Alligator mississippiensis: one gene and its partners. The protein of the gene in region 1 interacts with the protein of each later gene in a pairwise test. Links are inferred from orthologs where the notes say so. Each region holds a gene or a part of one and is shown on either strand. Other genes may lie near its edges.

Region 1 (7,014 bases):
ATTAGTTTCAACATCCTCAGTGTTGGTGGAACAGAGGGCTAATCTAGCTTTAAAGTCTTTCTCAGTATAACTATTTCAGTTAGGGATTTTTTTTTTAAGCAAGATAATTTCTGCCAATTAAATCCCTAGTGTAGACATGTTATACAAGTATAATGCTTCCCCTTCCTCTACAGGAATAATTATATTGATATATAGCATGTACCAGTTGTAACTGTATCCATGCTGCTTGGGAGTGTGCCATAACTTCTTAATGTAGACAAGATCCAAGCCAGTATTAACAATGGTAGAAAATGTGTTTTAAATCTTTGTACTTCCCTCCTTTGTGGATTATGTACTGGCATTAGCATGCACTTAAAACACAGTCACACAGTGTGGAAATCAAAGCATTTTTTTCCAGCAGCACTGGGAATTTGACCATATTCAGAGTAAAGTTCCTGTATTATACATTTAATATTTCAAAACTGTCAGGCTTTCTGGGTGAACAAAAGCAAAACAAACCAACAGTTCTAATACATATTACTAAAAACCACCGCTGCTGTCATGTTTAGAAGACCAGGAGTAACCTCATGCACTCCCAAACTTTAGAATGATCACTATCAATGATGTAATGAGTAGGCAAGCAGTCACAAGCCCCAGGTGCTGCCTAAGACAGGGGAGGAGAGGTGCCAGAACAGAGCTGATGGGGCACTTCACCTTCCCATTCCACGTCCCTTTCCCCACACCCTGCACCTTCGCAGGCAGCAACTCCAGCTCTGGCAGCAAGTGGGCAAAGCAGTAGCAGCGATGCACGGAGTAGGACTGGCCAGTGCATAGGAGCAACATGCTGCTTATAAAAAGAGAGAGATGCCAGCTCCTTTCTTTGCCAGCAAAAACCAGTGTTTTTTGGCCACCGCTCAACACACATCAGCAGCAAAAACAAAGTGTCATCTCCACACTACAAGAGCAAACCTCTGGCCGCTGCCTCTGCACCCTGCACTGCTACCATCCAGGGCAAAGTACAAGCCAGTTATGCCTCTGGACACTGCAGGAGGAGTGGAACAAATTGGCTCCAGGGAGCAAACCAGTATACCAACCTGTACCTATTACTTGCACTAGGCTCACAGCAATTCCACAGCCAACCACGGGTGGGACTTTTGTCTCCACTACTAGAGCTCAGCTACCTGAAACAGTCTGGAAATTTCAGCCACCTGCCATTAATGAGAGGCAGATCTCAACAGCATCCCCTCGGATAAGTACCAAATCTTTTCTTTTGGTTGAGATTCTGTGGTAATGTTTACAGTGAAATATCTGGAAGCTTTTCTATTCTGTTCTAGAGAGAGGTAGGTAGCTGTTTTAGTCTGAAGTCAGGCAGAAGGCAGGACAGGTTGGCACAGTGATTCTTAAGCACAGTGCCATGGTGCCCTGGGATGCTGAGAGATCCTTTCAAAGGTGCCACGCAGTACTAGCATTGTTGGGAATACATGCAATTCCAAAGGCTACAGAGGCCTAGGAATCCACCTGCTTCCTGCAGCTGCTTCAGGCCTTTACAGCAGTGATTCTCAATCAGGTGTCTTGAGATCCTTTCAAGGATGTCACACAACGTTAGTACTGTTGGATGTACAAACATGATTCACAAGATAAACCCGGAGATTTCAAATAGAATCTGCACTGTCAAAAGCCACCTACCCAGCTGTGGTACTTCTGTGTTCTTTGCTACAGAAGAATTGCTCAGAGAAATAATAAGTGACAGCTAAGAGCTGCCATTTTCCATGGGGTGCCTTGAGTCTAATTAGGGGTGCCTCAAGCTTAAAGCAGGTTGAGAACCACTGCCTGAGAGACTAATGCATGTGGTTTGGCAGGCAACCACCTACGTTGTCAAACTTTACTTGGTTCACAGCACCTGACAAAAAGTAGGCTACTGCCTACCAAAAGCTTACACAGGCAGTTCTCACCCTTTCTAGACTCAAGGCATCCTTGGATATACTCAAGGCACCTGTCGGCATGTACCAGCTTTGCATTTTCACTTTTTTTTTTTTTTTTTTTTTGGCCTACAGAAAAGAAATAAAGCGGGGTTCTGTCGCAACACAGGCAGAAAGCCTGCCGCTATGGGAGTCCTACAGCAATCTCTAGATTCAACCTTGCCCATCGTGTATGGTAAGCAGCGCTAACAGTGACAGCTCCCTCAGATGGTCTAAAGGCACTCAGGAGAATCCCAAGGCACCCCAGGAGATCTCAAGGGACCCTGCGATGCCAAACCACCCAGGAGAGCTCAAGGGACCCCAGGATCCCAGGACACCTAGGAGGACCAAAAAGCACTCCAGGATTTCTCAAGGGACCTCATGATCCCAGTATACCCAGGAGGACCCCAAGACACCCCAGGAGATCTCAAGGGATCCCATGATGCCAAAGCACCCAGGAGATCTCAAGAAACCCCACAATCCCAAGGCACCCAGGAGGACCCCAAAGCACCCCAGGAGATCTCAGGGGACCCTGCAATCCCAAGGTACCCAGGAGATCTCAAGGGACCCCAAGGGGACCCCAAAGCACCTGGGAGGATCCCAAGACACCACAGGAGATCTCAGGGGACCCCACAATCCCAAGGCACCCAGGAGGACCCCAAAGCACTCCAGATCTCAAGGCACCCCTGGGTGCCAGCCTGCTCGAGAAGCCCCGCCTTACACAGCTGTGCCCTGGCCAGGCTCGGGGGCCAGCCTGCCCCTGCCCCCGAGCCCCGGGGTGCACAGCCACGCGGCCGGAGGAGTCTCCCCCCACCCCGCGCAGCCTGGGCCCCGTCCCGGTCGCGGCGCCTCCGAGCAGCCGCAGCCCCGGGGAAGCGCTTCGGCGGCGCCTCCTCGGCGGCCGGGACCCGGCGGCGCTGCCCCGAGCCGGGCGGGCTGGCGGCGCGGGCTGCTCCGGCCCCGCACACGCACGCACATGCACATGCACCGCCGGGATCCCCCCGCCCCGGCCTCACCTCGCCCCGCGCCGCCGGCCCCGCACCACATCCTCCGGCCCGCCCCGGGACAGCGAGAGCCGCCCCACCCGCCCAGCCCGCGCCGCGCCACGCCACGCCACGCCACGCCACGCCACGCCACAGCCACTCCCCCGCCGAGAGCTGCCAGCCCCCGCCCCGCCCTGGCACAGGCGACCCCCGCGCCGCGCCCGCCCCTGCTCGGCAGGGCAAGGACCCCCGCGCCTCCCCCAGCCCGGCCGCGGGCGGGGGGAGACAGGCTTTGTGAGCTGCCAAAGAGCGTGGGCTCGGGCTCCCCTCATCAGGAAAGCTACTGAGGAGATTAAAAAATAAAGACATCTCAGGCCTCAATCCTGTAGGGCAGTGGTGCTCAACCTTTTCTGGACCAGGACCCATTTGCAAACATCAGTGGCCAGTCCCCAGTACTGTAGCAACAAAGTTTGGCACCAGGGCAAAGCCCATAGTGGCAGCTCACCCCAGCCCTGCATGCAAATCCCACCCAAGCTTGGCCAGGAGTGCACACAATGGCTGGAGCTACCCTTCCCTGGTCCCAGCACCTCCCCAAGCCTGCCGCTTGCTGCTCCGTCCCACTCCCTGCCCAAGCTGGGCACCGCCTGTTGTTGCCCCTTCACTTAAGTGCCCAGGGCGATCGCCCCACTCACCCCTCCCCCTTGTTATGGTACTGCCAGTCCCAACCCAGTGCCCCTCACTCCCAACCCGCTGCCCCCGCTGTGTGGGGCATTGGGGGCTCCAAGCAACCCCTCGCAACCTGGAGCTCTGCCAGACTGCAAGGGAAAAGGCCTTGTTTCCCACATTTTTCTACTTTAAAGGACAATCCACCTGTTGAGAAACGCTGCTGAAAGGGGCTTGAGCACAGCAAGTGGGGATGAGGCGGAATTGATGTGTTTTAAGTCCAAACATATCATCCTCATAACCTCTCAGGCACCTCAAGCCACTTGCAGGGCTGGACACAGGCATGGGTGAGCCAGGTAGCTGCCTGGGGCCCAGGCAGAAAAGGGGTCCCCAAAATGCTAATTATTATTATTATTATCATCTCCAGTGAAGGGGGGGGCAATACTAAAAGCTTGCCTGTGGGTGCCAGGAGTCTAGGTATGGTGCTGGTCACTTGGAACTAAAGCTTTCACCCGGCTTTTCAAGCCTGTCAAGCACAGTTCCTTTAAGCACCTAATGTTTCTGCCTGTCACTGGGGCCAGTTCTGCTTTGAGCAGGGGGTTGGACTAGATCAGTGTTATTAAACCCATGGGTCACGACCCAGAAGTGAGTTGCAAGAATATACAAAAGGGTTGCAAACAAACTTTAAAAATGGATTCTCCTTTAAAGAAAAAAAATGTGGGAAGCCAGGGCTTTCCCCTTGCAGTCTGGCAGAGCTCCAGCCTGTGAGGGGCTGCTTGCCCCCTCTCTGCCCCCACCACGCACACTGTGGCAGAAGGCAGCAGGTTGGGCGCGAGGAGCACTGGGTTGGGAATGGCCACTGATGTTTACAAATGGGTTATGGTACAAAAAAGGTTGACAACCACTGGACTAGATGACCTCCTGAGGTCCCTTCCAGCTCTCATTTTCTAGGATTCTGTGACATATCTGACTAATTCCAACTGGTCTGGTAGATGGCCAGGCCTTTTGATGTGCTGTTACAGGATGAGAGTCAAAGCCCATCAAACTGGGCTATGAGCACCCACCCCCTTGATGTGGGGGGCCACTGAGGGCATATCACTGATTGCTTGGGACAAATAAAATGCAAAATAAGTGAAGAGGTGAGGGTCAAAGGTTCAGAACGAGCACACTGAGGGGGTGGACTGAGCACAGAACACCAGAACGTGGGCACTGGTCTTTGAATGCATCCAAGAATCCAGCTGACACTGCCCAGTGAAACTGCCTCGAGATGTGAAAAGACCAAGGACAGGAAAATGGCCCTGCAGTCCCCAGAGTTCTCCCAGCCAGGGCCTCCTTCCTGGTCAGGTATATTGCCATCTTGGTCAGGAGGAGGTTGACCAGGAGGTCCCAGATGTGGGAGTGCCACAGATAGGGAGCACATAACAAAAAAGGGGCAGGGAGTCATGCAACCAGAACTTCAGCAGGAGGTTCTGGAGGAGGCAAAAAAGGGACTGCAACCTGGCGCATTCAAGGGTAGGCATGTGCCAGGGTCTCTCCACCTAATTCAGTGCTTGGGAGTGACTCAAATAAGGTCCATCATCACAGATAACACAATACATATTTTATTCCCATTTAAACTAAACTAGAAACTTTACTAATGCAAGGGGTCCAGGGCTGTGTTATTCTGTTTAAGATTGGAGCAGAAACAAACATAACTTAATTGGAATGTGTTCAAAAACAATCTGCAGGTCTGTGAAATAGAAGCAGCGAGGCCCCTGCTATACCTTACATATATTATGCAATTCACAGTTGAATTGTGAAATAAATTTATACTGGCCACACCTGCAAAGTAAGACCAGCCACAAGTTCAAAGTAATTATCACCTTGTTAATGGGTGAATCGTGCAATAAATTTAGACTGGCCACCCATATGCAGAAATTATCACATGATAAAAATTACTTTCCAGCTGTAAAAACTGCTAACCAGCTATAAAGTTAGTGCTTGAAAATGTGTAAGAACTCTATAGCTGGTTTCTATCCAGCTTTAATTTGAATGTGTAGCAGAGCCCTAACAGACCACAGAATGGCAGAAGGAAGGACATCCTGATGGGTAGAAAATCAAGGCCATTAGAAAGAAGAGAGGGTCATTAATACTTATGAAATGAAGTTTTAAGAAGGGATCGGGCAGATAATAACGAGCCCTGAAGTCAATTGACTCCCTCATCAGCTGCCTGACTAGAAACGCTGCTGCCACTGCCAGACAGTTCATTTTAAACTGTGGGTGGACCAGGGACCTGACAATAGAGTGGAACAAAGTCTGGGTCTTCCCTCTGCCTCTGTATAAAATCAGACCCTTCTACTATGGGGATGACCTTGCTCAGGTTCTTTGCCTGAGGGGCACAATTCTGTGGACTCTTCCCTAGGTCCTAATTCAAACTGTATGCCAGCACCTTTACCCAGTCTTTTACCAGGCCTCTGCTGAGAGTGCTTCCCTTCTGAACATTTGGCATTTCCAACATGAGGTAGGCAAGGACCCATAGGTGATAATCCCTTGATCCAAGGATGGTCTCTACCATGGCTCACTGATGAGTCTTGTGGTGACTTGGGAGTCCAATCCTAGAGCCACAGATCCATCCACAGAAGGAGACTAAGCTGCAGGCTGGGATTCCTCTCCTTTTCCTTCCTCTGCTCTCTCAGCTTTGAGGGCAAGACATTTTACCTCAAAATGAGCTGCTGCTTGGGTAAGGTTGTGGTGCCACTGGAGTCGGTTGGCAGCCAGCTTCTCCCAAATCTTATTGACAGCATCTGTTTTCTTGAGGTATGCCTTCAAAGTGTTTTTGTAGCATTTTCTCAGGCCATTACTAAGCTGGGAGTACAGCATTTGTTTTGGGAGGCAAGAGTGAGGCATCTGCACACAATGTCAGGTCCAGTGAAGTTGATGCTTGAGGATCATTGACTCAATGCTGGTAACACTGGCTTCAACAAAGATGCTGGTGTTTGAGTCAACGTTCCTATTTGATGCAGAGGATTTTCTGGAGGCATCATTGGTGATACTTCTCCAGGCTCTTGAGATGGTAATGGTAGGTCATCCCCATTTCACATCTATAGAGGAGAGCGGGGATGATTTTTCCATTGTAGACCTGGATCTTGGTGTCTTTCCAGAGACTGCAATGAATAAAGACATGCTGAGATACATTCAGCACCAGGGCAAACTATAAAGCACTTTGGTCTTCTCAATGTTGAGAGAGAGGCCCAAAGTTTGGTAGGCTTCTCCAAAGAGATCCAGCATGGTGTGGAAGTTTTCCCCAATGTGCACAGTCACTAGTACATTGAAGTTCAAGGATGGTTGTTTTGAGTACTTTGGTCTTCAAGTGAAAATGTCCCAAGCTGAAGAGTCCTCCATCGATTTGGTATTCAGTGTCAATTCCAGAAGGAAGGCAGTCATTAATGAGA
Region 2 (7,400 bases), on another chromosome or scaffold:
TCTGCCATCTGTCTGATCTGGTAGCACTATCAAATGAGATGTAGGAGACTTTCACTCCACAGTCAGAATGCATTATTCCATTGAGATACAGAAACAGATAAATTATAAATGGAAACAACCTGACAGGTCACATATCTCATCTCTCTGCTAATACAGACTTGCTCTCTACAGTACAATTTCGGGTGCTATAGATGCATGGAATACTTTAAAATTTGTCACCTGGTCTGTCAGTACTTCCCTTGGGAGACTTTTCCAAAATCTAATTATCAGAGAGAAAGAAATTACAAGCATTTGCAAAAGAAGTCTCTCAGAGTACACGGTTAACAAAAAAGTCTTGGCATCATTCTTACAAAAGGCTTTGACAGTAGTGGCAACAGAGGAAAGAGGAGTTTAAGGGACAAAAACATTGCTCCCCAAAATGGTGCCTTACACCTTATCTGGGCTACACTCAGAACACAGGAATTTCCATACACCAACCTAGCTGGTCTGGTGTCCAGGACCAGTTACTTCAGAGAAAGGTTAAGGAGCTGTAGTAAGTAGATATAAACATGACAGAAAGAGCAAAAAAGATTCATGTAGCTGCTTGAGAAATCAAGGTAGAAGGGATTATGTTCCAAAAGAGATTTTTTTTGTCTTGAGGAGTATCTCATTTTTAACATTTAAACTGTTAGAACTGAAAATACAGAGACATGAAAGGACTATTTTAACATCTGTTTATAATACAGTCTTCTTTCTTTCGGTCTAGACTTACATTATTAACAAAAGGTCATATTCCACCTTGCCATAGAAAATATTTAAACATCAACATTCAGTCATACATGGGGACAGTTACACAAATAGATACACAAACTTAGGAATGTTTCACTGAAGTCAGTGTTTCCAGGGTCATTTAACCAGCTAAGAAACTTATCGATATATATTAAAATTGAATACCTTTTTATGTGCGTCTTTTCTGATAACAAAGCTCTCTTTGTATTTAAAATTATTTTATTGTTAAGGTTGTAACTGAGTTTCCATGATATGTTTCATGAAATTGCTGTTATCTCCACTAAAATTCACACACTAAAGAATATTTGCAGAGAACTGGATTGTCTGGGTCTTGGATTCAGCTAGAATTTTTATACCAAACTGAAATTGAAATGGATAATGGAAGAATACAAATAGCTGTTGCTAAATTATTTTAGGGTCTTGTTCCCCTTTACCCATTTAGATCACATTTATGCTGCTTCATCTACCCTCCCAGTATGGTCCAGAGCCCTCCCTGGCCTACTCTTCTTCCTATTATCTGGATGTTCCCCACATACACCCACTTGCAAAGTACAAACTTTTTTTTTCACAATATAGTCTAGTATTGTAAAATGTCATTGTTTCTGTACCTTTGTGGTCCTATAGCTCACCCTCCCTCCCTGACTGCATCATTCCTCCCAACCTGCCATCCTGAAACCAAACTCCCTTGGACATCATGCACAACCTCAGCTTATCTCTCTCATGATCTGCTTGCCTGATATGCTCCAGAAGCCTCTGTACATGTATCTCTGAACATAATTTGTGCAGTTACAACTGTCTCTCTCAGTTGCCTACAGTACTACATTAAAGGTGGTTCTGCTGCTTCTTGAATCAGGAAACCACCCATGGGGCAGCCTGGCACTGGAAACATGGCGGCAGTGGTGGGGTGTCACCTGACCGCTCTTGTAGCCTACCAGTTGCAAATCACTATACTGCATAAGTATGGGACATAATATCTCAAGAAGCAGGGTGAAACTTGTTAAAAAAAGCAAATTTAAGGCCTTCCTCAGTCCATCTGTGGAGAGACAGTAGATGGGGAGGTAAAGACTTATGTGTAACTTAAAAATATTCTCAAAATATTTTTGTAACTCCACATTAGAATTAACAAATTGTTGAAGTTTTTGTTTTGTTTTTGGTGTGCGAATAGAATTAAAAGTGAAAAAAACCTGGAGCTTTGTATTTAGAATTAGGTGCTCAATATCCAGCTAAAGCTGCATGCAAATTCTATCCAATCTTTTATAGCCACTTTATCCAGTCTTTATAGATCCTACTAGAGACAGTTATATTTTGTGGTTTGAGTGAGAAATGATCACATTGTGACTTCTCTTTTAACCCTGGCCCTCATGAATGATACATTATAGAAAATGTATACAGAATATTGTTTTATGAGTTACAAAAGAAAATATATCAGCTAGAAGCATATCACCTGCTAGTGCTTCAATGTGTTTCTATTATTTGACAAGTGTGTGCCAATAATGATGCTGTATGTTTACAACATGGAGGCTCTATTTTAAAAATGACACATACTAACAATTAGATCATTATAAGAACAGATTCAGAAAACTACAGAATCATTTCCCAAGCAAGTCTCCTGGGACAGCTTAGTGGGGGCCCGTTGTGCTCAGTAACAGACATAATGGATTACTTGAATGATACAATTCTAGTCCCATTTTAAGTTGTTCTGTTTCTGGTTGCACCCAGTCCTGACCTTTGGTTGCAAAGGGCCACGTATGAATTGCATGATGTTACCAATGGGATTTTTTTTACCAGAGCCCCAAAGGATTGACATGGCAACTTGTCCGATGTGGTATCAAGTGAACTTTAATAGTAAGCCCTATGCAATATTACAGATTTCCTCCCCATAACACAACCTGGCAAGTGGCTCCTTTAGACACTACAGCAGTAACTTTTGGTGATACCAGCCTTGGGTCCTCTGCTTGGTGTGTGGGATGTTTGTTTCTGGTTTTTCAGCTATTCGAGCAAAAAGTCTACAGTTTTTTGGGTTTTTTTAAGGAATATTTTTCATGTCCAAAGTCAAATCCAAATCCGTGAGTCATTCAAGAACCATATGTGACCCTACTACTGGCAAGCATCCTGTACATCTGCCTGGGGCTTCAGAAGCTTCCAAATCCTTTGACTGGCACCCTACATGTAGGCCTCAGCCTGGAAGCTTAGGGTTTGGATGCCCCCAACTTTTGCTTGCCCTCAGCTTTATGGCCGCAGGAGCAAGCTAGGGAGGAGTCTTCCATTTCCATAAAGTCAGTGTATAGCTGAGATCTTCCCACTGGAAGTGAAAGTGGGAGGCAAACTATGCATTACCTCAGTCAGGGTACTACCCCCTGCCAAGAAAGTGGTTTTGCCCTGCCAGTATGAAAACCATGTTGGTGGTCATGGTATTTCCCTCATGGTCATGGTATAGTTGCCCCTGTCTCCACAGAGATACAACACGAACACACAGCTTTCCCTTTGCTTCTTGATTACTTCTGTAACTTTCTTATCCCAAGTTGTCCAAATCCTTTAGCACTGTGCCAACCATTCCTTATATGGTACACCAATCCTATCCTACTTTTGGTTATCTTTCCTTACAGGGAAAGTGCTATACATTCCTCACTTACAGCATTCCCACTACAGCACTCCTTCCAAAGACTGTCAGGCACTCTGTTCAATTTTATTGCGTTGCTCAGGGAAAGCCTGGACTGTGGCTAAGCCTTAGCATAACTGAGGTTGCCTGCTACACATGAATACACCCCAGGTGACATGCCTTTGTTTCTTTTCGTGGCAAATGTGAATTTACGCCCCATGTCTACCTGAAGCTACGGTGCCGTATCAAGTGTAAAGTGCTCTGAGGCCTCTGTAGGGGCGGCAACGGAAGCGCAGGGTACCATTACTCTGAGTTTGAGGGCAACTCTCCCACAATGGGCACAAGATGGACCAAACCCAAGTTTCACCTCGGCTCTACAAGGGCGTTAAGGAACCTTCTTCAGGAAAGAGCTGTCCAAAAGCAGGTGACGAGATCCCCGGTTCACTAAAGAGGGGGCAGGAGGAAGACCGCGGCTCAGCCTGGCCAAGATGAAGCCAGCGGGAAGAGATGCAGCTGCAGACTGACGCTCGGTGTTGGTGGCAGGGCTGCCCAAAGCCGCGCCACTGGGCCGCGGGCCTCCCGCTGACCTCCCGGCAGAGCGCGAGGGCCAGGACGCGGCACTGCACGCGACCACACCGGATACGGCCCCGCTTGGGCCCGACGGTACGTAACACCCGACCTACTCACCTAGCTCTGATGGACTTCTGACGTCATAATGACGGTAGGGGGGAGGACATCACACACCCCACCCACCAGGATCCAGCCAACCGGAGAGATGGGGGTGGGAAACGCTGCGAGGCCCCGCCTCACTGCCAAGTTAGCCCCGCCCCCGCCCCCGCCCGCCCCCGCCCGCCTGCGTGACTTCCTATTGGCTCGTTCCAGTACCCGCCCTCCCCTGTGGTGGAGCTGAGCGGGCGGTGTGAGGTAAGCCGGCTACTGGCCCGCCGCTCCGCAAGGGGTCGCTCTCGCTTAGTAGCCTCCCCCAGTGCGGGCAGCGGCGGCTCCGGGGCGCCGCAGTCACGTGACGGGAAGCGGGTGGGCAGGGCAGGGCAGGGCAGGGCCGGGCGGCCGCGCAGGCGAAGAGGAGGCGTTGCGTGCCGGGTCCGGCGGTGAGAGCCAGGCGGCCGCGTCAAGGCTTGCCTGGGGTGCGGGGCGGCCCCGGACCCTGACCCGGGAGGGAGCGGGCCGTTGCCGGGGCTCTTCCGCTTGTTGCTTCGGGCGTGGCAGCGGGACGCAGAAGGCGGGGCTGGCGCTGGAGGACGATCTGAGCCTGAGGGGCAGGCTGGGGAGCGGATCCCCCCGATCCTCGCGCCCTGGGGTCTGAAGGCTTCCTGGAGCCGCCTGCCCGTGACCTGGGCTGAGGACCTGCCCGGCAGATGCAGCGCGGGGCTGCGGGGTTCTTCAGAGGTGGTTGCCTCCCGGTTTCTGCCACTCATTACATGTACTGCGTGGTTCACCAGCGAATGGTACAATAAAGCAGGCAGCTGCAAGTGCAAAGTGGTCACCACATGCTCAAAACGACTTTAGCTATAAAAAGGCAACCAGCTACCAAGTGCATGTTTGGGAACTGTAACAACTCTCTAGATCGTTTCTAGCCAGCTTTCATTTGAGCGCGCAGCAGGGCCCTCTGTCTAGGCACAGTGCACTGACCTGGGCTAGCAAATAGCTTAACCTGACAATGTTCCTCTGCTGAGGGATTTTTGAGGCATTGTCACTTTCCAGGTAAACTAGATTTGCCACTGCGCAATGTCCCTGATAGGTTCCATATAGTCAGAGAAGAAGCAGCTCCTCTTCTGCCTCTGCTTGTGATATTATTTTCTTCTAGACCAGTGATTCTCAACCCTTTTTTGGTATGGGACCCATTTGTAAACTTCGATGGCTAGTACCCCTCGCCTAACCTGCTACCCCCCACCCCGCAGTGTGTGAGGTGTAGGGGGCATGGGGCAGGGGTGGGCCCAAGCTGCCAACCTGCAAGGGAAAAGCCATTGTTCCCCATGTTTTTCTCTTTTAAAGGAGAATCCATTTCTAAAGTTTGTACTTTTCATATGGTCTTGCAACCAGTGGGGTTGAGAAATGTTCTGGAATGTGTTTAGGCCATGGTAGGGGTTAGCTTGTTAGCCAGAATTGGCCTTGGCTCCTTCGAAAGCCTATTCTTCAGACAATACTTTTCTCTCCAGTCTGCCCTACTTCATTCTGACTGGGCTGTCTTGGGTTGCAGCTGATGTTGGTGGTGTCCTGTTGCTGATTGCTTTGAAGAGTCTAACAAAGGGTTGGTGTTAGAAGCTGGATGGTGAATCCACAGAAAGATTGGTGCTGGGTGGGATTGATGTGCTCCTTGCTGATCTCAGCTGACTGAAAGGAGGCTGCTCTGTTTTGCCCAAGCAAGAAAGAAAGGCTATATTGCTTTTGTTTTTAGTCCCAGATAACAGCAGTTTGCCCCAGCTAGTTTGAAGGTGATAGGCATGTGGACCACTGAGGTCAAGTCTCTTCCTTCTGGACAAAGAGGTTTTTATTTCATTGCTACTGACCTTCTCAAATCTGGTGAGGTGTTCAATTAAACTCCAAGGTTTGAACTAGCTTGGATCAACGACAGAATGGATACATTTCAGGAGAAGGGTGAACTAGTTTTCCTTGTTTCAGTCAGTTTTGCCTAAGTTGGTTTTGAGACATCTCTTGTACGTTCAGGTGCTTGCTAACTTTACATTTACAATGAATTGTGGTTAGCTTTATTTTGCTAACACTAATAATGCAAAAGCAAGGCCTACAAAAATTGCTAACCACTAATCCGTAAGTTTTAAAAGATTGTTTGGTGTCTCACTCAACCCAGACAGTTAAAATACAGCACTTCTTACAGTGGCAGCACTTGTGGTGGTTAGTTTAATTTTTAACATTGTTTATAGTTGCTTTATTTTGGAATCAACTGGGTTAACTTTACAGTACAGAGCCCCAGCCTGGGGGTAGCTGCCTGAGTCTGTCCAGCAGGGTTGATGGGGAAGGTGTGAGCCTTCTTGGCTGCCCAGGGCTGGGTGGTCTCTGGTCCAGGCTCCCTACTTTCCTTCCTCTGCCCAGGGCAGGGCCACAGGACCATTCCAGGCCTGGAGAAATCATGCTGCTCCTCCCTGGCAGCTGGGCCCCAGGTCTTGGGAGCTGGACTCCAGTGCAGAGAAGGGCCTCTTCCCCTCTTGGTGCTGTTGCTGCCAGAGGCAGGGCAAGCCCCTGTGCCCCGTGGCGGAGGCTGAATGGGCCCAGCCCTGGGAAGGACAGGACCCGACTGGGCTGAGGGGCCAGGGGAAGACCCTGTTGCACAGAGCAGGGGGGAGTGGCTGCCCCTGCCCCTGGTCCTACCAGGCTCTGTCTGTAAGGTGTGGAACCTCAGGCACTTCAGGGTCTGCCCACCTCTTCCCACCTCAGTCACATCTCTGTAGAACTTGCCGTCTTTTACTGAGCCTGCCCCAGCCCTAGCCTGAAGTCTGCTCCATGCCAGTGCTTGGGACACAGCATGAGCTGCTCTGGAGTCCAGTCTGGCCTGCTGGTGAGGGGATGGGAGTAGGGATGGAGAATGGCTTGGGCCCTTGCATCTGGATCAGGCCCTCTGCACTCAAGGTCACCCCGGTTCACAGGAGGGAGCCCAGGTGTCCAGGGCCCCAGTGAGAAGGCATTATTATTGGTAAACATTATCGGCTATAACAGCCAAAGAAAGCTGATAGCTGATAATATAATTTTCCTTTTATCAGTGCTAGTTTGATAGCTAACTGATATATCAGTCCACCTCTAATTTTTTTTTAAATAGCTGTGCTAATTACTTGCATAGGATAAATTATTTTGTGCTGTGGCCCAAGGCCTTGTCCTAGGACTATAGTGTAAACAGTACTTCAGGGTTGATAGCATCACATGGCAGAGAGTTGGTTGGGATGTCAGATGCACACTGCTCTTTACACTGGATTTAAGGCCTTGTTTTAAAGGCACACAGTAGCCTGGGCTTTCCCTGTTTAAAATTGTGTAAAGCTGTGGAACTTTGGTTGACTGATGTCTT
Region 3 (7,816 bases), on another chromosome or scaffold:
ATGTGGCATTAATACACTCAAATATTTGTTTTACCAGTAGCATCACTTAAAGTAATAGTTACTGCAGACTTTCTAAGAGTGGAGAGACTCCTCTTGACTTCTGTCAGCTTTAGATCAGGCCCTTGATGTCACTAGATAGTACTGGTACTGCAAGTCAGTTAAGCTTTGGTTGTGTCAAAATGTAACCTTTAAGCTTTTTAAAGGTATTTGCTATCCCATACTTACTGTAGTTTAAAATAATTGTATTTAGATGTTATATGACTCTAAAAATGGGTACAAGTTAAACATGGGTGAATTAGAGTATTTTCTGTGTAATCTGAGCAGCAGAAAGAGTAGAAGTTTGTCAGAAAGATTAGTAAGAGAATTTGAATGTATAGTTAATCACAAAGCAGAATGACAAGCACAATAGTAGTGATAGAAATGAATGTTGTTTTTGTAATATTTCTGTTGTGGCAGTGGCAGAGCATTGGCAGGACCCTTGTCTCTCCAGCTTTTGCTTGTGCCATGTTATTAAAAGGTCTTGGCATCTTGTAGATGGTTCTAATTATTTGTGAGGGCTTAAAGTGGCAATTTTGGGGATTCCTTAGGTTAACAGTAGCCTACTAATGGAGGGGATTAGACTCGATGCCCTAGGAGGCACCTTTTAGCCCTCTGTTCCTAGTATGACAATGCTCAAAAGCAGTTGGGCTTGAGACCCATTGTGATATGGTCTGTAACGATACAGGTAAAAGTTAACCTCTGCCTTCACTGGCTTTCAGAATCCAGGGAACATCCAGATTTGGGAGCAATGGGAGGATTCTGAAACTGGAACGTAGCAGTTGAGCTGCAGCAACATGAAGCTCAGTGCAGGCTGCAATATGCACCCAAGAAGAAAGGTAAAACAGCTCATGCTTTTGCAGCTAGATTGCTACCGGTACTTGAGCCAGCTAGTTTAAAGCTAACTCAGGTATGTGTACACTACATTGCTAATACTGCTGTGATTTACACCTTTATGGGCTAGTAGTATAACCATTTTACAGATGGGATGATTGCTCCACAGATTGGTAAAAGGCATGAAACCAAGCAGCAGTTCCTCCTGCTGCACCTCTACCAAATGTACACAAAAGGGAGGTGGTGATGTTTAAGCCAGGTTTTCTGGGAAGGGTGGAAGAGATGCAAGATATGCAGTGGATCTAAAGTGAATGTTGATACTGCACAGATATTATTAATCCTCAGCCACCTCCATTTGTATGTGCCAACAGCAATCACATGCACGCAAGAGTGAGAGTGGAGCCCGAGGGCTGAAAACTAGAACACAGCTTTCAGTGTGTTGTGTTTGTGTGGAATCACAGACTGGCTTGATTTAAAGGGATGCTCTCTAAACCAGGAGTACCTGAAGTTGCCTGTTGAACAATTGTTCCCTACTTGGTAACATTTCATAGTGATACCACAGTATGTTGAATATTCCTCATTTTAACAACTAGCTTCTTTGTATTCTACACAAAAGGCTTGTATATTTCCTATGCAATTGAAACGAGAGTTTTTTACTGCTTTCCTAGTGATATGTAGTGTGTTGTACACACAGGTCCTGGGTGAGAGTTCAACCTGCAAAACTCCAGCTCCCTAAAATAACAGCATCCTGGAATGAGAGAAAAGACAAACTCAGGCTAGGATAACTCAAGGTCTTGTAATCATGTTTTAAAGACTGTTGAAATGAACATAGAGCAGCAGACCAGCCCCAAGATCCAGCTGGTTCAGTTTCCCTTGTCCATCAGCGGATTATACCAAATGACTCAAGGAAAGGGGCAAGACATTACATACTCGGGAATGATGAAAACAACTGCTTGCAGCAAAATCTGCTCTTTAGCTCTAGGTAGCTAGGGAATAGATACACTTGGGAATATTAGAAAAAACTTTTCACTAGTGATCTGGGATTCCCACCACTGTTTCTGCTGAAGTGGACCTAACATTTCTGAGAGTGCAAGTTTAGAGAACGTTATGTTGGTTTCTGTCAGGGCATTAAACTTACCAGCTGTCTGCACTATATCTCATTTACATCAGTTGTTGCAGACACTACAGGTTGGACTGATAGACAGAATTAAATATTTAATTTTGTCATCAGACAGCTTAAACTTTGTTTCAGATCTTGATATGTTCATGTTGCCTTGGAGCTACAACAATCCTCTTCTGCTAATTAGGATACACAAGCATTTATGCTGTTGCCAAACGGAGGTCAGGCAAACACCTTTGCTTCCAAGACGGCACTCCATGTGGACACCAAAGTGAAACAATGGTTTTCAGACAAAATATAATTTACTAGTAGCATCCACATTCTTTCAGGAGGCTTCTAAAATGCAAAAGAATTGTCTAATCAGACAATAAAATTAGCACTTGTTTTTTATTGGAGGATGGGTCATAAGTAAACCAGGAACTACTCTAAAAGTTGTATTTTAAATATCTGCTTTGGAAGCAAAAAATAACTGTGACTGGGCATGTACAAGCATAGAGTTCCTCTTCAATCCTCTTAGCCAATCTCCATAAATTGAAAGAGGTTACAGAGCACAGGCACAAGTCTTCAGTCTTCATATAATACAGGGAAGGATACACGTTATAGAAACTCCTGGCTGAAAACAAGATGAACTCCAAAAGTCATTTCTTGTAAAAGGTACAAGAGCAGAATTCCTGTCCATTTTCCTTTACCAACAGTATGTAAGAACAAATTAGACATAAACACCAAGGGAAGGTCATGGGTACAAGTGGGATCTGGTCTCACATGTAGTTGAAATGATGAGAAAGAAGTGGGCGCTGGTTTATTAACGTCTGGTTGCAAAAAACATTTGATGAGATATAGCTTTATGTCCATTCATGTATGGAAGGAGATGAAACCCAGCCCCCAGGGAAAAACACTCTCAGAAGACTTAGGGAAATAAAAGCATCTTTCAAAAGCTTGGAACCTTATTTAAGGCCAATGCAGATATCTTTTTTTGCATTTTAAATCTGCCAAGGTACTTCTGTCAGTCAGAATGAAAATGGTAAAACCTGTTTTAACAATCAAGCTGATGACATTCTCTAAGAACTTTTCAGGCCTAATGGACTTTGCTTAATGGTACTAGTTTTTTTTCACTAGGTCACATATTTTAATGTATTTTGAATCCTGGGTAGTTTCTTTTTTTTCAACACAAATCTTAATACCTATCTATACTACAGAGCCCCAACCAAAGATGAAGCTGGGTCACTACAGGTTGTAGTGTCCAACCTGTAGTGTCTGCAACATGGTACTGGGTCACTACCCCAAATGACACAGGCTAAGATGACAAAGCACCCCCCTACCCAATTTTGTCGTCACAGCCGTCTCCACACCAGGGGTTTTACACTTCTAGCAGACAGGCTTTATTAACCTATTAACCTAAAAATTACAACTTAGTCTCAAGTAGTATATAACACACGCTACAACCACATTCAAAAGTATTTCGAAGCCTACCTATCTGAAATCCCACCGCTCAGAATAAGAGGCTGTTTCGACTGGAACATTGTAATAGCTATGTTTATAATTACACTCTTTTGTCTCCACAATACTTTAACAACATCCAGTAAAATGGACACGTCGCTTCTAAAGGCAAACTCTCATCTCTAGCATAGAGAGAAACAAGACATACACGAGCCAAAGGCCCCAGTCTTATGAACATTTACACGTGCCCAGGTTGAGACACAAATAGTTGTACTGCCTTCAATAGGATGAGTCCTGCCCATAAAGCTTAGCACATACACAAGTGTTTTGTTTGTAGACAAGTTTCCTTGGGTGAATTTGATATCCTTGCGTGAGACGACACAGAACAGATGGCAAGCGCAGGGATGGCAACGCACAGGTCCTGGTGCTCAGTGCTCGAGCCACTTGAGGAAGCTGCCTGGGGGAGGGGAGGTTGTTTGCCAATGCAAGGGCTGAGCGCTGAACTTTAAACACAGGATGTAGGACCGTTCAAACAACATCACAACTGTTGTAAAACAAACAGTAACAAAACATGGATACCCAAGTTCCTCCACAACAACCCACCGTCCCTACGGTGACTAGCTCACACCCTTTCTCGGTCTCATTTTAACCAACTCCACCCAATTTTGAGGTCACGCTCTTCTCTGTAAACCTAATTTTCCAGCCTGCCCCTTCTCAGGACGCTCATCATCTCTTTAAATTGTTTTTTCTGTGGAAGAAAAAGTGGGACGCTTACAAGAAGCCTCTCTTATTGAATAGTTTCAGTATTTTTCCTCATTGCTGTCGGTTCTGGCTTGGTTTTCCTTTCTAGCTCAGCCGGGCTGCGTTGCTCATCGTTAGGATTTTTAAAACCACTTCTTTCTATGGATTTTAAAGCTTTTTTTTTTTTTTTGGAAGGTGTTTCATCTCTTTGTAAACGGACTTCCTGGTCAGGCGGAGGCAGGATCCTCCCTTGCACACGCCGCCACTTAAGAAAGCACAAATACGGGTAAAGTGTGTGCGTGTGTGTTGCGGGGACACCGGCACCAGCACCTCTCTATTGCTTTTACAGGGAGGGCAGAGCGGGGCGGCCGCGGCCTGGCGTCACCTTCCCGCCGGCGGCGCGGTGCTGCCCTCAGCTCCGGCTCTCCGCGTGCTGCGGGGCAGGGCGAGGGGGTCCCGGCCCCCGGGCCGTCCCCTCAAGGACACCTCTGTCCCCGCGTCCGCACCCAACGCCCGCACCCGGGCCCGGCGCTGCGGAACAAAGGCGCGGCCCCTTCCCTTCCCTTCCCCTTCCCCTTCCCCTTCCGGCGGGGCGGGGCGGGGCGGGGCGGGCCGAGCGGGGTTTCCCGGCCGGGCCGTCACGGGCGGGGGGCGGAGGCGGGACCGCGCCCAGGCTCCGGCTCCCGATGGCTGCGGGGAGCTGAGCGGGACTGACTTGGAGCCGACGCCCGGGGACCCCTCGCGCCAGGCGGGCCCTTCTTCTCCTCCTCCCCCCTCAGCCGGAGCGGGCACCGCGGCCCCGGGGAGCAGGTACTGCCCGCCCTTCCTCCTCCTCCTCCTCCCCCCCTCACAGCCGGGGCTCCCATCCCCCCCGCCGCAGCACCCGGCCCGGCCCGGCCCGGCCCGGCCCGCGGCGGGAAGCGAGGCAGGCAGGGAGGGGCCCTGCCGTGTCTGGTGTCGGGGCGCCGGGGGCTTGGCGCGGCCGAGGTGAGTGCCGGGCCGGGCCGCGCCGGGCCGGGCGGGGCAGGAAACCCCGGCAACATCTGGGGCTCGCGGGGGCTCCACCGCCTGCAAGGGTGGGGGGGGTGCACATCTGGAGCTGGCCTTGTGCTGCATGTTTGTGCGAGCCTGAACCCGGAGCGTGCCCCATCATGGAGGATGTGCGCGCCCCGGCAGAACAAGGGAGCCGCTCGCTATTGAAATCCTGTGAAAAATAGATGTGGTTTTTCAAGCCTCGCTTGCTCCCGTACTGTTTTCAGCACCCCCCCCCCCTCCCCCTTTGCTCCTCATTCAAGGGGCTGCTTAGATTAGAAATCTGCTTTTTATTATCATTGCAAAACTGCCTCTCAAAACCTGAAAATGGGCGTAAGGCGCGCACAGGCAGAGGAGAGGAGAGGCAAGAATCAGTTGAAAAGGGGGGTGGGGGGGGAGGAAGAGAAATCTTGTCCAGCAGAATATAAGGATGATGTAGAGGTTATTCTACGGTGTCGATTTATCGTGTGTGAGGATCGGCTGAAATTTTAACGCGTGCAATTTTTCACGGTTCTCCAACCAAGTCCAGCTCTGGACTGGTTTTAAATAAAGCATCCTCGGGCGAATGCCGGCAGCCACGTTGGGAGGCATTGCCTGCTGCTGGGGGATACCGGCTCCAATTAAAAAAAGAAAAAAGCAGGGGGATGGGGGGGAGGGAAAAAAAAGCGAAGCTATATCATTAAAATGGTTTCTGAAGCAGCAGGCTGACCTCCAAAGGGAGGTGTTCGGAGACTGGCATTAAAATGAGATACCGTTAGGTGCAGAAATTACCAAACTGTAAGGGGGGGGGGGTGGGTATCCCACATTTTGAGGCTTGTCCTCTGAACACGGGGATGTGACAAGACAAAACGCGGTCGGTTTCTACGTGGGAAATGCAACTGAAAAAATAAGCTCCTACCCAGAGAGGTAAACTCTTTATAAGCGCTGTACATCAATCTCTTCCGATTCGGCGTGTTTTAGGGGGAGAGAAGGGGTGATAATAGTGCAGTTGTTTTGGTGGCTGCAGATTACCGAGGGTGTGTGTTTGATTTTCTTTTTGCTGTGAATGAATGGATCCTTCTGTGCCTGGGCCCAGTAACTGCAACAAGATGGCGTTTGCAGCAAGGCAGCTCTCTCATTTTCAACTCCTCCTCACCACAGCTTTGCCAAACTAGACACTATCCCTTAGTTGCATTTTAGATTTCTCTCTTTTTTTGTTTTTGTTTTTGTTTCCTTTCTCCTTTTTTGTAGTAGGAGGAAGGCTTGGGAGGTGGGGGGGGTGCAATAAAACAAATATATAGGTATTGCTTATTTTTAATTTTTTTTATAGCATTTCCCCCCAGTACAGGAGACTAGGTGGGAGGAGTAAATAGTTTTATTGAAATTTTCACATAGGCTGTGACTGGTTAAAGCAGTAACATGATGCCCAATGTCTGTTCATAATGGCATTTGGAAAAAAAAATTCTAGCTTATTTCAGCAACAAATTTTAACGAACACATATTTTTATATAATCCAGAATTGAGGTCTGTATGGAGAAAACCTGTATAAAAGGCTCTGTAGAACTGCATGTTTCCTACCATCCTAGTAATAATTAGACCCCCATGTAGACAGTCATATCTTTTTTTTTTTTTTTTTTTTTCTTATCATAGAAAGGAAGCGCCCTTCTGCTTCAGAGCCCTCCAATGATTTGTGGAACCTTTTAAAACTGCATTTGACCTGAAATTGTCAGTTTGCATAATTATTCTTTTATATTAGATGCGGGGGAGAAGAAATGAAAAGGCTATTTGCATATTAAAACCTTTTTCTGTGTTCCTTGCCCTATTTTAAAAATTACATCATACATTTATAAAATCTTTTAAAAAGTGGTTTTGTAGCACCTTAAAGTGTACATTTCTTAATCAAAGCCTATTAGGTTTCCTGGTTTATTAATTATAGAAAGCTAACGTTCCCTCCCTCCCCCCCCCCCCCAGTTTAGACACTTGATTAAAATAAACAATTCAGCTGATACTTGACAAAAACAGATTTACTTATCCTCAAGCATGTTCAAATGACTCTTAACAGTTCTAAAATATATGTCAAACTACACAAAATATTTGGCTGCTTTTTTGATGCTTTCTGAATTAAAATTTTCTCTCTCCTCTTAATAATGGTATGTGAATTCTGGTATTGCTGTGTGGATTTATTTTTGTATAATCCATCACTTGCCAGATGCTTTTATAGCTTAATTTTCCTAAGGCTATAGGAACCTTTTTATGATTGAAGTTTTTTTTCCCACTCTTTAATTTTTACAGGAAGTATATAAATCCCAAAATGCTTGTATTAAAGAAATTAACATTTCTCTAATTAGCTCAATAACTCATAGAGAACTTTTAAAAAATCTGTCAGCATAAAATTTCAGTTTAATTTTTTTGTTGTGTTCCACTGAATTTGAAACTAACAGTAGTATTAGTACTTGGTACTAATACTAGTACTTCAGATATGTTTTTAAGCTAAAAAAGAAATAAATGGGGGGAAAAAACATTTTAGTCTCCTGCATTGAGTGACTAAGGCAATATAAATTTATCTCTGCTTAGTAGTCCTTCCAGTTGCTAGGTTAGTTTGTAGCAAGCATCCTATCATGAAAACTTAGTTGGTAC
Region 4 (6,840 bases), on another chromosome or scaffold:
GGCCCAACGTAAGCAGTTCTGCTCATTTTAATGGGGCTATTTGTGTAGGAAGGCACAATTTAGTGAAAAAGTGGCAGAAATTATGGCCCATTAGAAGCATCTTAACTTGGCAACAGCAGATTTGTGTGTCAAAAATGTCTACAAAGAGTTCCGTCCTGGGGGTGACAGTATGATCAATGAGACATTTCTGGAATTCCATTAAGTATGCTTATTTTATTCTTAGCAAAGCAAAGGAAGGTGGAAACAGGCAATTTTAAAGGACCATACCTGAAAATGTCTAATATACCATGTGTGAATTCCAGGCTTTATTAAATACATATTTTGCTAAAGTAGCCCCATACTATATTGCTCTTAAAGGCATTTGGCTGCTAGTTCACACACATACCGGTAGCATTCATGGAATGATAAATCTAGTTTCCCTTGGCACCCACCTGATTAATACCTTAAATATTTTCTCACTATAAATCCAGCACCGAGGACAGTGACTTTAACTGCATATTCTTTTTTTTACTGAAAATACTTATTAGTGTCACACTAAACCCTCCGTCTAGAATGACAAATAGAGTAATAAGTAAAACAACATGAATGAAAAGTAAAATAGCTAAAATTACTAATAGCATAATTATGGAGGAGGCACTAATGATGCTTTAGTTAGGGTTATGTTCAACTTTTAAACTAAAGCAGGATCGTAATTAGTAACAGAAAAAACCCTGACTCTTTTTATGCAGCTATGAAGAGCCTGGATTAAGTTCAGTTTTACTATGGAGAGAGGCAGTATTTTGACACCTGTGTTGAAGTTTTACACTTAGGGGACTCCCTGTGGGACTGTGTCAGAAGTGGTCTGGGGAATTAGAGCTGAATTTAAAGAACACATTGAGATTCCAGGCAATACACCACTTCCACACTCCCTTCTCTCTTCAGTGTAAAAACATTGCTTGGAGGCTGGAACTACAAAACCCACATACACAGCTAGTAGAGTTGATATTAAGGCTGAAAACCAAGGTGAAGGTGAAGGGAATCTCTAACCAAGCTGTTATTGCAAGTCATCCAATGAGTGGGTGGGAAGGGAGGAGGGTCAAATGGCACAGCTTTTGCTCGGGGCTCCTATGAGTCTGTGTGGCAGCTAGGTAAGAATCCATATGGCTCTTGGTCTAGAAGATCCTCATATACAAAGCATAGCTACTTGTTCATGTGGTGGTAGGAATGAATTTGCTCCAGCAATATTAATAATAACAAAGGTTATTTAAAGCAGTCTTCTGACTTCCCACTAAATTGCTATAAACACTATATTGCAATTCATGGGGCATTTTACTTTTGCACCATCCTGATACCAACGTGACTCTTCTGTTGAATGCTAACAGATCTCCAGATCAGATTTCCAGGCCAATCCAGTCCAGTGGAAATATTTTAAACATAACTTATTTCTCAGCTATATTCATAGTCCTGAAGAACATGCATACAATTCCTTCTTCCAAGGCCAGTCCAACACCATGCCTGGTTCCCAAATAATAATTCTACCATAATGGACTAATCCAGAGGTATTCAACCCTGGCTTGTGGGCCAGGTCCAGAGGTACTCAGCCCTGGCCTGGAGCTGTGTCATCTGGCCTGCACGGCTCCCCATGGATCTGGAAATTTGGTGATGCGGAAATGGTGCCTACTCCCCTGCTGTCAAATTTCTGAACCCATGGGAAGCTCCACAGTCCTACACACTAGATCATGCATGAAGGATGATGTGTGTCCTGATCCTGGCATGCAGGAGTGATGCGGGGTCCAATCTCAGTGCGTAAGGTTGGGCAGTTGGCATGAAGTGCCAAGGTGTGCAAGGCTCAATTCCAGCATGCAAATTAGAGGTGCACTGATACATTGGTGCAATAACAGATCGGCACCGATATAAAGAAAATTGAGTGTATCAGAAATTGGCCTGATGTGGCTGATAAATTGGCTGATAAATGCCCATGCATGCGTGCAGCTACAGCGCAGCACATAGGCAGCCAGGAGCACAGCTCGGCAACTTGGAGAGCTGCATGCAGCTGGTAAGTCTGTTGCAGTAGAAGGGGTGGGGGAGGGAAAGGGTGTGGGGGCAGGGGGAACACAGATCAAGGCCCCAGTGGTGAGAGAGGGAGAGAAGCTGGGCCTGGGGCTGGAGCAGGCACTGCCCAGCCAGCGCAGGACAGGGTGCAGGGCAGAGCTGGGGTTTGTCCATGTTGACACTGGATTTGACCCAGCACCTATACCTTTGTTTTGGGCGGGCACAACCCTCAGAACGACCACACCACCTGCCAGTTGATAATAGGCTAATTTATTGATACAGAGTAAGAACAAAAAAGCATCAATACCAACAATCAAACAATTCTGTATCTACCAGTCCTAGGGCTGTCATCAAAGTACATCTGGTCAGGATGGAGGCTCCACTCTGAGGCTCTTTCTTGGGTGTCAGCAGTCTGGAAGTGGGATGCTGAGGCCCACAGCGCCCCTCCAGTGGGCACAAGCTGGGCTACTGGTATGCCCTCAGTCCATGGTGGCCTTCGGGACCCTTCCCGGGGGCCAGGGATGGGGACCCCTTTCAGGGAGCAAAATGGGGAGGGACGGGAAAAAGGGAGGGACCCTTTGTTAATCGCAAGTCTCTGCTTTTGTATTCTCCTTCCCCCTTGATGACTCCTCATGACACTTCATTTGTTGAACACCACTGAACTAACCAACACTAATCCACGTATATCCCCAACACTGAATCTTATACCTCTTCACAAGATAAGGAAAAGAACTGGGAAGACCATATCCAACAGCGCCACCTGGTGATGTCTGCCATAAACAAATAGGACAGCTGACAAGTGACGGGTAGATATCCATCCCTAGTCAGCTCACCCTGTCAATTTAAAAGTTTTGCTAGCATAACTGCATGGGCAAGGGACATGATTTCCATTTGTAACATAGCTATTTGATTAAAAAAAACAAACCCAAAAACAAAAACAAAAACCCAAAGAAAAGAGACTGTAGTACAGAGGCAGTTATAGAGGCAGAAAGCGCTTTTGCTGATAAAGCTTAATTCACCTTCAATGAGTAAAAAAACTTTGAACAAAAATGTTTGTGCAAATAGACGCACCTGCATCTGCACTAGGAGGGTGTTTGCCCAGTACCGGTAAGCTGGCAAAGCTTTTGAGTGCAAGCAAGGCCCAAATTCAGGATGTGGCTCTGCTGGCCGAACCTGGTAGCATTGTCATGCTGGACAGGAGCATGAAAAGATCACCCTCTGTGGCTGGTGCAGCTTGGCTGTAAATGGCCTGGGCATGGTCTCTGCAGGGAACTTGTCGTTCAAGGCAGCTGGCACAGCTCTGCCAGCCAGGTCAGCGCCCTACCAGCAAGGATGGCCGAGGATGATCTGGCAGCAGCCAGGCCCCAGCCTTTCCCCTTTATACGCTATCTAAACCAAAAGCCCAGCGCGGGTGCACGGGGCGCTTGGTGCTGGAGACGTGCGAGCGCCGCCGGCCGAGGAGCCGGAGCGCCGGGCACTCGAGTCAGCCCGGGGTCGAGCCTCCGGGTCCCAGACACTGCCGGTGCCGGCTCTCCGATACCCCTCGCTCCCGGGACCTGCGGCCTCGCCCGCCGCTCCGCCGCCTGAGGGCTGCTGGTGCCGGGGGGGCAGCGGCTGGACCGGGCCTGAGCGGGGCACGCGACATGAGACGAGGCCTGGTTAGCCAGGGCGGCGCCCCGGGGGTCCCGTGCGGGGTGGGTGCCGCTGCGGGGCCTGCGCCGGCTGGGCGGGATCCCGGGGGCGGTGCCTGCCCCTCCCCGCCGGGGCCGCGCGAGGCGGCGGAACGGGCGCGCGGGGCGGCGTTGCGCGGGGACGAGTGTGCGGCGCGCACCGGCTGCCAGCGCGGCGGCGGCGGCGGCGGGCGGGGCCGCCATGGCCGTGGACATCACGCTGCTGTTCAAGGCCAGCGTGAAGACGGTGAAGACCCGCAACAAGGCGCTGGGGCTGCCGGCGGGGGACGGCGCCCGCGACGAGCTGCTGCGCCGGGGGGGGCCGCGGCCCCGCAGCGACTTCTCCGCCCGCGCCCGCGACGTGGTGAGTGCGGGCCGGGAAAGGGCCTCGCGGGCCCCCGGGCGCGGCGGGAATGGGGACGCGGCCCCTTTAAGCCCGGCCCCGCCCCTGGCGCGGAGGCCACCGGGCTCGGCGGGGCGGTGACGTCACCGGGGCGACCTGGCACTGCTGCCCCGCCCCCCGCCGGCCCGGCCGCCTCCCTACCGGGTGGGCGCGAAACCTCTCCGCGCACCGTCTGGCTGCACACACAGCCCTGCCACACCGGCACACGCAGACATGCACAAAACCCCTCCACGCACCCTGCCTGCCACGCACACACACACCCAGAACCCTGCCACACCTGCACGCGCACACACACCCTGCAACACATGCGCACACAGACATGCACAAAACCTCACTGCGCACCCTGCCCGCCAGACACACACCCCCCGCTGCGCGCACACTGCCACTCGTACACCCCGCCACACACAAAATCCCACTTTGCACTCACCCAACACCCGTGCACACTCACCCACAAAACCCTGCTGTATATGCGCGTGCGTGCACACACACCTTGCCACACACACACAAAACCCTGCACACATGCACACACACAAACGAGCACAAACCCTGCCACATGCGTGCGCACACAGACGGGCACAAGACCCTGCCACATGCATGTGCACACCCCCCCCCACATCGTGCCACACATGCACAGACACAGACAAGCACAAATCCCTGCCACACGCACACGACTACCATGAGCACACACCCTGCCACACATGGACACGTGCACACATACAGACATGCACAAAACCTTGGTGCACGTACACACACAGACACACACAAAACCTTGCCACACATGCACACATACGCACAAAACCCTGCTGCACACACACACACAGACACGCACAAAACCCTGCCACATGTATATACACAGATGCACAAAACCCTGCCACACACACACACGCCCACCACCACACACTCACCCTACCACACTCACTTTCCCATCCACCCACCCACCCTTGCAAAGCTAATCATCACAACTGATTGGATCGCTGTTGTCTATGCAGGCCTGGTGTGCCCCCCCAACACGTGCACTGCAATCGCATGCTTCTTCCCATGTGACTCTACCTTGCTCATGGCACCAAAGGGAATGTGCCTCGTGTCTAGCGAGTGGTTCCTGCTGTATTTATTGCACATGATTCAAATCCTGTGTTAAAGACAGAATGATTAATTCCCTCATTGGCTTAGTTTTTTGCTGCTTGTTCCTGCAGTATCTGAATGCAAGGACAAAGCATTAACACTTGAAGGTATTATCCTCATTTAAAGGTGAGGAACTGGGGTATAAAAAGATGAAGGGCCTAAGAATATACTAATTTTGAGTGTTAAGTATTAGATATCTGCTTTTTCAAGTCAGGCCGCCATAACATGAAGTTTACAAAATCGGGGGACATCTGTAAAAGGTTGGTTTAAATTAGGGCTGTCAGTTAATCATGATTAGTGCATTAATCGTTGGTGTTAATTTTTTTAACGTGTTAATCGTGCACGTGGTTTTGGAGCCTGCGCCTCGGCTATGCTCTGCTCCCATCACTGCTGCCTCCAAGCCGCCCCATGGGCAGTGGTGGCAGAGCAGAGGACCACAGGGCAGCTGCAGCAGGGGAGAGAAGCACACACAGAAATGCAGCCGCAGCCTGCACTCAGCCAGGAAAGTAGCTTGGTGGCGTGTGGAGTAGCACCCACATGTAGAGTGGAGTAGCACCCAGCAGGCAAGTCTGTGAAGGGGGAGGAGGGGGACAGATTGGGGCTCCCATGGTGAGGGAGAGAGTGGGGCAGGGGCGGGGGTGAATGGGTCCCTGAGGCCAGGTCATGGGGCAGAGCCATGGCTCATCCATGGGAACTGGGGGTGGCGGGGACTCCTCCTGCTGCAATCACCCTGGGGGTGGCACAGGGGCCATGTGCCCCCCGGATTTATGTGTGGGGTGGAGGCGGGTTGCCGCTGCAGACGAGCTCTGCACCCCACTGCCTTTGCCCCAGAAGCTGCGCACTGGCAATGTTGTGTCCCCTACCTGGCTGGCAGCAGGAGGCACAGCATGGTGTATCATGGCTCCCAGGATAACGGCAGCAGAGCATGGAGCGCAGCGCATAGCAGCAGCCCACCTCCACCCCAGCCACAAATCCAGGGGGCACGTGCTTCCCATGCTTCCCCCAGGGGTGCGCACAGTGGCGGGAGCAGCGCCCCCCCACGCCTCTGGACAAGCTGTGGCTATGTCCCATAACCCACCCCAGCCCTGGGGCCCCATTCACCCCAGCCCCTGCACATGCCTCTGCCCCACTCACTTCCTCACCATGGGAGCCTCGATCTGCCACCCCCATGCCCGTTCCCTCCCCCATGCCCCTTGCCCTCCACAGATTTACCTGCAGTGTGGTGTCTCTGTGTCTGTCTTCCCCTCACCCCCAAACCACAGCCCCCTCAGCCTGGCTGCTGCCCCTCACTCCTGACCCACAGCACCTCACATCCTGCCCGGGTGTGTGATTCATAGATTCATAGATTCATAGATGTTAGGATCGGAAGGGACCTCCATAGATCATCGAGTCTGACCCCCTGCATAAGCAGGAAAGAGTGCTGGGTCTAGATGACCCTAGCTAGATGCTCATCTAACCTCCTCTTGAAGACCCCCAGGGTAGGGGAGAGCACCACCTCCCTTGGCAGCCCGTTCCAGACCTTGGCCACTCGAACTGTGAAGAAGTTCTTCCTAATGTCCAGTCTAAATCTGCTCTCTGCTAGCTTGTGGCCATTATTTCTTGTAACCCCCGGGG

What was found.
Region 2: the proteins of DISC1 (region 1) and EXOC1 interact in a two-hybrid assay, tested with the Homo sapiens proteins (2 studies listed by BioGRID and IntAct). The link is inferred for Alligator mississippiensis from reciprocal best matches to the Homo sapiens genes DISC1 and EXOC1.
Region 3: the proteins of DISC1 (region 1) and GNB1 interact in a two-hybrid assay, tested with the Homo sapiens proteins (2 studies listed by BioGRID and IntAct). The link is inferred for Alligator mississippiensis from reciprocal best matches to the Homo sapiens genes DISC1 and GNB1.
Region 4: the proteins of DISC1 (region 1) and STX18 interact in a two-hybrid assay, tested with the Homo sapiens proteins (2 studies listed by BioGRID and IntAct). The link is inferred for Alligator mississippiensis from reciprocal best matches to the Homo sapiens genes DISC1 and STX18.

Annotation. Positions count from the first base shown.
Region 1 is NC_081824.1:149,967,715-149,974,728, reverse strand, and holds the start of DISC1 (disrupted in schizophrenia 1 protein), read right to left. Parts: upstream 3,017-7,014; 5' UTR 2,954-3,016; intron 1-2,953. UniProt on the Homo sapiens protein: Involved in the regulation of multiple aspects of embryonic and adult neurogenesis. Required for neural progenitor proliferation in the ventrical/subventrical zone during embryonic brain development and in the adult dentate gyrus of the hippocampus.
Region 2 is NC_081825.1:60,853,382-60,860,781, forward strand, and holds the start of EXOC1 (exocyst complex component 1), read left to right. Parts: upstream 1-4,384; 5' UTR 4,385-4,476; intron 4,477-4,810; exon of another isoform or gene 4,811-4,833; intron 4,834-7,400.
Region 3 is NC_081836.1:13,022,575-13,030,390, reverse strand, and holds the start of GNB1 (guanine nucleotide-binding protein G(I)/G(S)/G(T) subunit beta-1), read left to right. Parts: upstream 1-4,814; 5' UTR 4,815-4,978; intron 4,979-7,816. UniProt on the Homo sapiens protein: Guanine nucleotide-binding proteins (G proteins) are involved as a modulator or transducer in various transmembrane signaling systems.
Region 4 is NC_081825.1:28,610,298-28,617,137, forward strand, and holds the start of STX18 (syntaxin-18), read left to right. Parts: upstream 1-3,836; 5' UTR 3,837-3,903; coding exon 3,904-4,065; intron 4,066-6,840. UniProt on the Homo sapiens protein: Syntaxin that may be involved in targeting and fusion of Golgi-derived retrograde transport vesicles with the ER.